2 linked regions of the Cricetulus griseus genome follow. The protein of the gene in region 1 interacts with the protein of each later gene in a pairwise test. Links are inferred from orthologs where the notes say so. Each region holds a gene or a part of one and is shown in the gene's direction. Other genes may lie near its edges.

Region 1 (4,098 bases):
TTTGTCTGTGATTGTGATCCTTCATCCTAGGGGAGTGGCCTCTCTCCTCATCTCTGCCCAGCTCTCAGCTGTCCAGTTGGAGCCACAGAGTTGGAAACAAATGGACCTAAGGAGTTGGGTGGAATTAAGATGGGTGGGGAGGTACCCGAGGAATGGGAAGGGGGGGCTGAGACCCTGGGAGGTTGGTAGAGTGTATCTGTACTTCTGAGACAAGACTCCACAGAAAACTGCATGAGCGTTAAGGACAAATTGAAGTTCATGTTTTTCCCTAGCTTGTCGCCATCCACAGCCAAATCTTATTACTATGTTTCTGTCCCCTCACAATTCTCTACTGTTATATATGATATCGCTGAACTGACATCTGTCAGTGCTCAGATGCCCTCAGTTCACTCTCCACCCCAGCTCTGCAGCTTGGGATAGGAGTGCCTGAAGGAACAAGGAACACACCCATGACCTCTCAGGCCAAGTTCCAGTTGGCCTCCTGGCAGAACAACAACCTCTCCTTCCTATGGAGACTGTCTTGGCTGAATCTCCTTAACACCAGCAGAGCATTTCTTTACCCCTTGGACCTTGAGGGAAGCCTGAGGAGGAGACCAGAGTCTGGAGCCATAGCTGTAGGCTGATACCCCAATACAAATAATCGCTTTAAATCATGCCAGGCCAAGAAACCTGGGTGCACTGCCCTGCCAGGGTTGTTGTCTTTGAAACAGCTCTCGCCTCCCCCCCCACAGGATCTATGGAAAATGGGCACTGGAGGATGGTAAGAGGTAGGGAAAAGGGGGCAGCTCTGCCTCCTGTTCTGATTCCAAAGAAAACAAGTCCTAAGACAGCGGAGTTTTACCATTTGGGAGGAATACACACTTCTGTGAAAACCTGAGAGTTGGATGGCATACCTTAGTGGTAGAGAACCTGCGTGGCATAATGAAGCCTTGAATTCAATCCTCAGCACTGGAGAAACACACACACACACACACACACACACACACACACACACACACACACACACACACACTCCGAAGAAACTTTGTTCTTAACCCCAAGTTAAGGAGTACTGAAGCTTCGAGGTGGTGGCACATGCCAACTTGGGAGGCAGAGGCAGATTGGGCAAGGAGGGTAGGAGCTTGGTTTGAGGATCTCTTGAGTTTGAGGCTAGCCTGGTCTACACAGCCAGTTCCAGGACACAGGACAGTCAGGGCTACACAGAGAAACCCTGTCTCAAAAAAAAAAAAAAATTAAGAAAAAGAAGATTCTTCTTCAAGCCTGCTTCCCACTCCTTCCAGGTCAAGTCCATTTCCATCATGCCGCTCTCGGGAACCCCGGCCCCTAACAAGAGGAGGAAACCCAGCAAACTGATCATGGAGCTCACCGGAGGTAGGGCATGCTTGTAGCTCCCTAGTGCCTGACTTTTAAGAGCACCCATGACTCGGGAGTCCCAGAAATTACATAAGACTGGATATAAGTCAGAGTGAAAATACAGGAGGAATTCCAGCCACGGAAGGTGTGGGAGACAGAAGTGATGGGAGGGGTAAGAAGGGCAAGGAGAGAGAAGCAGGAAGAATTCCACATTTACTCTGCATCCTCCACCCTTGCCACTGGTTATTCTGAGACAGCACCCAGCTACACTACTCAGCCAGGCCCAGGGCCACAGGACACAAGCTAGACCTCACCAAATGGTTAACTTCCTTATTTCTTTCTAAGTGCTAGAGAACTTGTGTAAGCATTTAAAATAGGAAACTGGGCAGGCATACTCCCCAGGGATGTAAACGAGTTACCAGGTGTGAAGTTCTCCTGATACTTCTGGAGCCAGAGTTCACTGAATCAAAAAGAAAAAAAATAAGGATCTGTATTTAGAGAGGGGCAACTGCACATGATATTGGACTATCAGCTTCCTCCCAAGCTATAATTTCTCCAGTGACCTCTGTCTACAATATTCCCTTACACTTGTTCTCTTCCACTCCAAGCCCATATTCTTTGTAGCCCTGTTTACTTCTCTACTCTAGTACTCCGACTGTATATGCCCTGAACCCTTGTTCCTGTGTATTCTCTCTAACTCCAAACCAGGAAATCAAGACTTCTCATGGAGTGTGATGATGGCCTATGCCTTTAATCCCAGTGATCAGGGGGCAGAGGCAGGCTGATTTGTGAGTTCAATGCCAACCTGGTCTAACAGTGAATTCTGGGCCACTCTGGGTTACATAGTGAAACCCTGGACCCCCCCTCTCTCTCTTAAAATATTTAAAAGATACACAAATGAGACAAAAACCTCTCATAAACTAGGCAGAACTTGGTCAGATCACAGAATTTTGCCTCTAAATGATCTCTTTGACTATACACTCAGCTATGGGTGGAGGTTCTTCTCTGAGTCCAGAAAGCCTTAATTTCCTCTATCGCCCCTTCTCCACCTCCTGGACAAGGTGGACGGGAGAACTCAGGCCTGAACCTGGGCAAGAAGATCAGTGTCCCAAGGGATGTGATGTTGGAGGAGCTGTCATTACTTACCAACCGAGGCTCCAAGATGTTCAAGCTGCGGCAGATGAGGGTGGAGAAATTTATCTATGAGAACCACCCGGATGTTTTCTCTGACAGCTCAATGGTGAGTATGGATGTGACCAACTCTCTCACAGCCCAGTGCCTTTTCTGACAGCCTCTCAGCGGGCCCTAAGTTCCCCAAATACCACCCACTTCCTCTCCATGAGAAATGATAAGTTCATTAAGTCCCGTACATGTATTACATTCCCAGCAGCTCTAGGGTGGGTTGCAGCCCATTTCTGAATCTTAGTCCTCATCTTAGAGCCAGTGCAGGCTGAGGAGTACCACACCCAGAGGAAAATTCCTTCCCAGTGTGGGTAAGTGTTAAAATAGGGTTGCCAGATAAAACACGGGACACCCGTCCTGTATTTTGAAGTTAAGATACACAATGAATATTTTCTTTTAGTGAAGTATGTTCTTTGTAATATTGGGACATAAAAATAAAACAAGCATCAAAAACTACAGAATCTCGGGGCTGACTGTATAGTTGAGTGGCAGAGCAGGTGCTTAGAATGCATGGAACCCTAGGTTTCATTTCCATTGCTCCCAATGAAGACATCAAGACATTGAGACACCAAAGGTCAAACAGAGTATCCAGTTACATTTGACCTCCAAGTCTACACAATGAGCTGGACCACTGAGGAGGCTGAGGAAGATTGCTTATGAGTTGGCTAAGTTTTTACAGCGAACACCTGTCTTTTTTTCTTTTTTCTGTAAATATGTTGCCTGTAACATGTAACATTTTAGACATACAATATAAGAAGCCTGGCGTTGGTGACGGCTTTTAATCCCAGCACTTGGGAGGCAGAGGAAGGCAGATCTCTGTGAGTCCGAGGCCAGCCTGGTCTCCAGAGCGAGTGCCAGGATAGGCTCCAAAGCTACACAGAGAAACCCTGTCTGGAAAAAAAAAAAAAAAAACCCAAAAAAACAAACAAAAAAACCAAAAAAACAAAAACAAAAACAAAAAACAATATAAGATTTGAATAATACATTTTTGTTTGTTTTGTTTTTCGAGACAGGGTTTCTCTGTGTAGCTTTGGAGCCTGTCCTGGCACTTGCTTTGTAGACCAGTGGCCTCGAACTCACAGAGCTCTGCTTGCTTCTGTCTTCTGAGTGCTGGGTGTGTTACATTTTAAATTTAAATACATAACAAATACTTTCTTAATGTAAACTTGTCCCATTAAATACTTAGGGCATATTTATACTAAAAATATTGTTCTATACCTGAACATAAAATGTAAGTAGTAGTGTGTAATTTTGTTTGTTAAATCTGGCAATGTTAGGAGAGTCTAATAAGTTTCTATAGCCATCTTCCTTTTGAATAAATCTTTTTTTAAGGTTCAGTCTCTTCTTTAAGGGTGCCTAACAGGGAACTAAACCCTCTTTCTCTAAGACAACATATGTTCCAGGCAGGCTTCTCCAAAGAAAGAGGAGGAGGATGGGAGAGAGGTCAGGCACAGGACGTTACAGCCAAGGAGGAGGGGACCAGTTCCATTTCCTCTCTTCCTCCTCCACCTCCTCTGGGTGGCTGGGACAGTGGAAATAGATGCCTACATGGATATGGCCAAG
Region 2 (3,500 bases), on another chromosome or scaffold:
AAGCCACTCCATTCTGACTTTCTGTTGTACCCCATAGGGCAACATGGCAGTAACAGTGACCTACGGTGGGGACCCTGTCCCCAAAAGTCCCTTTGTGGTTAATGTAGCACCCCCATTGGACCTCAGCAAAGTCAAAGTTCAAGGACTTAACAGCAGTAAGTGAAGAGCCACCCTGGGATTGCGGGGTGTTGGGTGAGGGGTGGAGTCTCTGCTCATGGTGTCCCTTGCCCTCTATGCAGAGGTGGCCGTGGGACAGGAACAGGCATTCTCGGTGAATACAAGAGGGGCTGGTGGTCAGGGTCAGCTAGATGTGCGGATGACCTCACCCTCCCGGCGACCTATCCCCTGCAAGCTGGAGCCTGGGGGTGGTGCAGAAGCTCAGGCCGTCCGCTACATGCCCCCTGAAGAGGGACCTTACAAAGTGGACATCACCTATGATGGTCACCCAGTGCCTGGCAGCCCCTTTGCTGTGGAAGGTGTCCTGCCCCCTGACCCCTCCAAGGTAAACACACAGGGGCTGGGATCCAGGAGTTGGGGGCTGATAGGAAAGATGAGTGAGTTATAGGCAGAGACCAGAAGAACACATGAGCCTAGAGTAGGCACATCCAGAGCCAGGAGCATCCTTTCTGGGGGATGGGTCTTAGAGACAGCTTAGTTGTTCAGAGACTGGCATTGGAATCAGACCTGATCCACAGAACTGATCCACTGTTACTCCATCTCCTGGAGTTGGCTGCTACAGCTCAAGGTGCTTGCTCAGGTCACAGCTGCAGAGTCTGGGAACTTAGAAGAAGCCAAGTTCAGGGGACTAACACATGTGTTCATCTTTCTAGGTCTGCGCTTATGGCCCAGGTCTCAAGGGTGGGCTTGTAGGTACTCCTGCACCGTTCTCCATTGACACCAAAGGAGCTGGCACAGGAGGCCTGGGGCTGACTGTTGAGGGCCCCTGCGAAGCCAAGATCGAGTGCCAAGACAATGGAGATGGATCCTGTGCTGTCAGCTATCTGCCCACAGAGCCAGGCGAGTACACCATCAATATCCTGTTTGCTGAAGCCCACATCCCTGGCTCACCCTTCAAGGCCACCATCCAGCCCGTGTTCGACCCAAGCAAGGTGAGGGCCAGTGGGCCAGGCCTGGAGCGTGGCAAGGCTGGAGAGGCAGCCACCTTCACTGTGGACTGCTCGGAAGCGGGCGAGGCCGAGCTCACCATTGAGATCCTGTCGGACGCTGGCGTCAAAGCCGAGGTGCTGATCCACAACAACGCGGATGGCACCTACCACATCACCTACAGCCCTGCCTTCCCTGGCACCTACACCATCACCATCAAGTATGGCGGCCACCCCATACCCAAGTTCCCCACTCGTGTCCACGTGCAGCCTGCAGTTGATACCAGTGGCATCAAGGTCTCCGGGCCTGGTGTGGAGCCACATGGTAAGAGAGGAGCAGCCCACAGTGTCGAGTTATGGGACTAGGCCAGGAGGGAGGGAGGAGAGCTGGGGGATGAGCAAATGGAGGTTTCGGGGGCTCAACACCCCAGAAAAAGGAGCAAGGGGGACCAACAGGGCATGAAGATTAGTCTCTGATCTTGTGACAAAATGGCATCGGCCCCTGGGCACTTTTCTGGTAAGATCTTTGAACTTGTCGATTTAAGGCATCTCAGACCCCAATAAAGCCGAGAACACATAAAAAGGCACAGTGGGAAAGCTGTATCTTAGGTGTCAAGAATCCGGGAGATAGTTACATGAGTGGGCTGCTTGCGAGGGAGACAGATCAACGAGGGATAAGCTGAGCAGAGGCAAGTAGGACACAGTCCTCAGCCTGGCAGGGCACTAACGAGGGCAGAGGACGGCACTGAATGGTGAAGGGAGCAAAGGCAGAAGGTGTGAGGGAAGGCCTGAGACTCAAGGGCGCAGAGAGTTGGCTAGGCTCTACTTAAAGAACAGCTTCGGAGTGAGGGATGAGGAAGGGGCTGAGTAAAGGCTGAGCCTGGCTCCCTGGATCTAGGTGTCCTGCGGGAGGTGACGACTGAATTCACCGTGGATGCGAGGTCTCTGACAGCCACAGGCGGCAACCATGTGACAGCTCGGGTACTCAACCCCTCGGGTGCTAAGACAGATACCTATGTGACAGACAATGGGGATGGCACCTACCGAGTGCAGTACACTGCCTATGAAGAGGGTAAGGGGTTTGTACGAGTGGGAACGGGGCACAGTGTGCTCTGGAGGGCAAGGATGAGGGAGGGCTCTGCGCTCCTTGACTGACTGACTGTGACTGGCTTCCAGGTGTGCATTTGGTGGAGGTGCTATATGATGAGGTAGCTGTGCCCAAGAGCCCCTTCCGAGTGGGTGTGACTGAAGGCTGTGACCCCACCCGAGTCCGAGCCTTTGGACCAGGCCTGGAGGGTGGCTTGGTCAACAAGGCCAACCGCTTCACTGTGGAAACCAGGTATCCTTCTCTTTGCCTAACCTTGACCCAAAGTTATATCCATCTTGATCTCTTGCCCTTTCCATTTATTTGCCCTGTCACCCACTTCATCCTATTTCAGAGGTGACCCAGGGTCATTCTCCCTGTATTCCTAGACAGCCCATGCAGTCCATCCCCAGCAGCCTGCCCTCTTTATTCCTCCCTGTCCCCCAACCCCTTCCCTAACCCTTTCACTGGCTCTAAAACAGCTGACAGGAGTGTTCTTTTATAGGGGTGCTGGCACTGGAGGCCTTGGCCTAGCCATTGAGGGCCCCTCAGAAGCTAAAATGTCCTGCAAGGACAACAAGGATGGTAGTTGCACAGTGGAGTACATCCCCTTCAGCCCTGGAGACTACGATGTCAACGTCACCTTTGGGGGACAGCCCATCCCAGGTGGGCAAAGAGGGTGGGCTGGGCTGTGGATGACAGGACTCTGGCGCCACAAGGAAGACTGGGGGAAGGGTGGATGGGGCGGTTTGCAGAGGGCAGAGCAGCGGGGTAGGAGGTGCTGTGGTGTGAGAGCCCCCAGTTCATTCCTCCAGTTCATTCCTCCAGTTCATTCCCAGAGGCCCTGGCCTGGAGCACCAGGCCTTGGTCATGCTGCTTCTCTTACTAGGTTTGCTGTCCTGTAGCCCAGATGCTTGAGTGTGCCTGTCTTCTCCCATTGTTCTAGGAACTGGATCTGCTAAAACAAGACTCTGTTTTCTCCTTATTGCGTGTTGTATAGCCTCTTCATGTTCTACCACAGTGTCAGAAACAGAAGTCGTTTTTAAAATATTCCATTTTTAACATTTTAACAATCTAGGAGGGTTATCTACCTGGGCTGAGCCCAAGTAAGTGAGGTTTGCCTTGCCTCACTCTGCAAATTTGCATACTCTTGTCTTTTATGTCTCAGCAAGTTCCAAACTGCCTTCATGTTGGTCTTTTGTCCGTATGGACCTCTCAGTAGCAGGGAGGTTGCCTCGTCCTTGGATTCTCAGCACGAGGAGATAGACTTTCCCAGGCAGTGGGGAGAGGATAACCACCATCTCCTCCTCCTC

What was found.
Region 2: the proteins of Myoz1 (region 1) and Flnc interact in a two-hybrid assay, tested with the Homo sapiens proteins (2 studies listed by BioGRID and IntAct). The link is inferred for Cricetulus griseus from reciprocal best matches to the Homo sapiens genes MYOZ1 and FLNC.

Annotation. Positions count from the first base shown.
Region 1 is NW_023276807.1:200,330,517-200,334,614, forward strand, and holds the start of Myoz1 (myozenin-1), read left to right. Parts: upstream 1-1,298; coding exon 1,299-1,371; intron 1,372-2,414; coding exon 2,415-2,593; intron 2,594-4,098. UniProt on the Homo sapiens protein: Myozenins may serve as intracellular binding proteins involved in linking Z-disk proteins such as alpha-actinin, gamma-filamin, TCAP/telethonin, LDB3/ZASP and localizing calcineurin signaling to the sarcomere.
Region 2 is NW_023276806.1:198,369,530-198,373,029, reverse strand, and holds part of Flnc (filamin-C), read left to right. Parts: intron 1-37; coding exon 38-155; intron 156-239; coding exon 240-502; intron 503-830; coding exon 831-1,428; intron 1,429-2,001; coding exon 2,002-2,175; intron 2,176-2,279; coding exon 2,280-2,442; intron 2,443-2,692; coding exon 2,693-2,853; intron 2,854-3,500.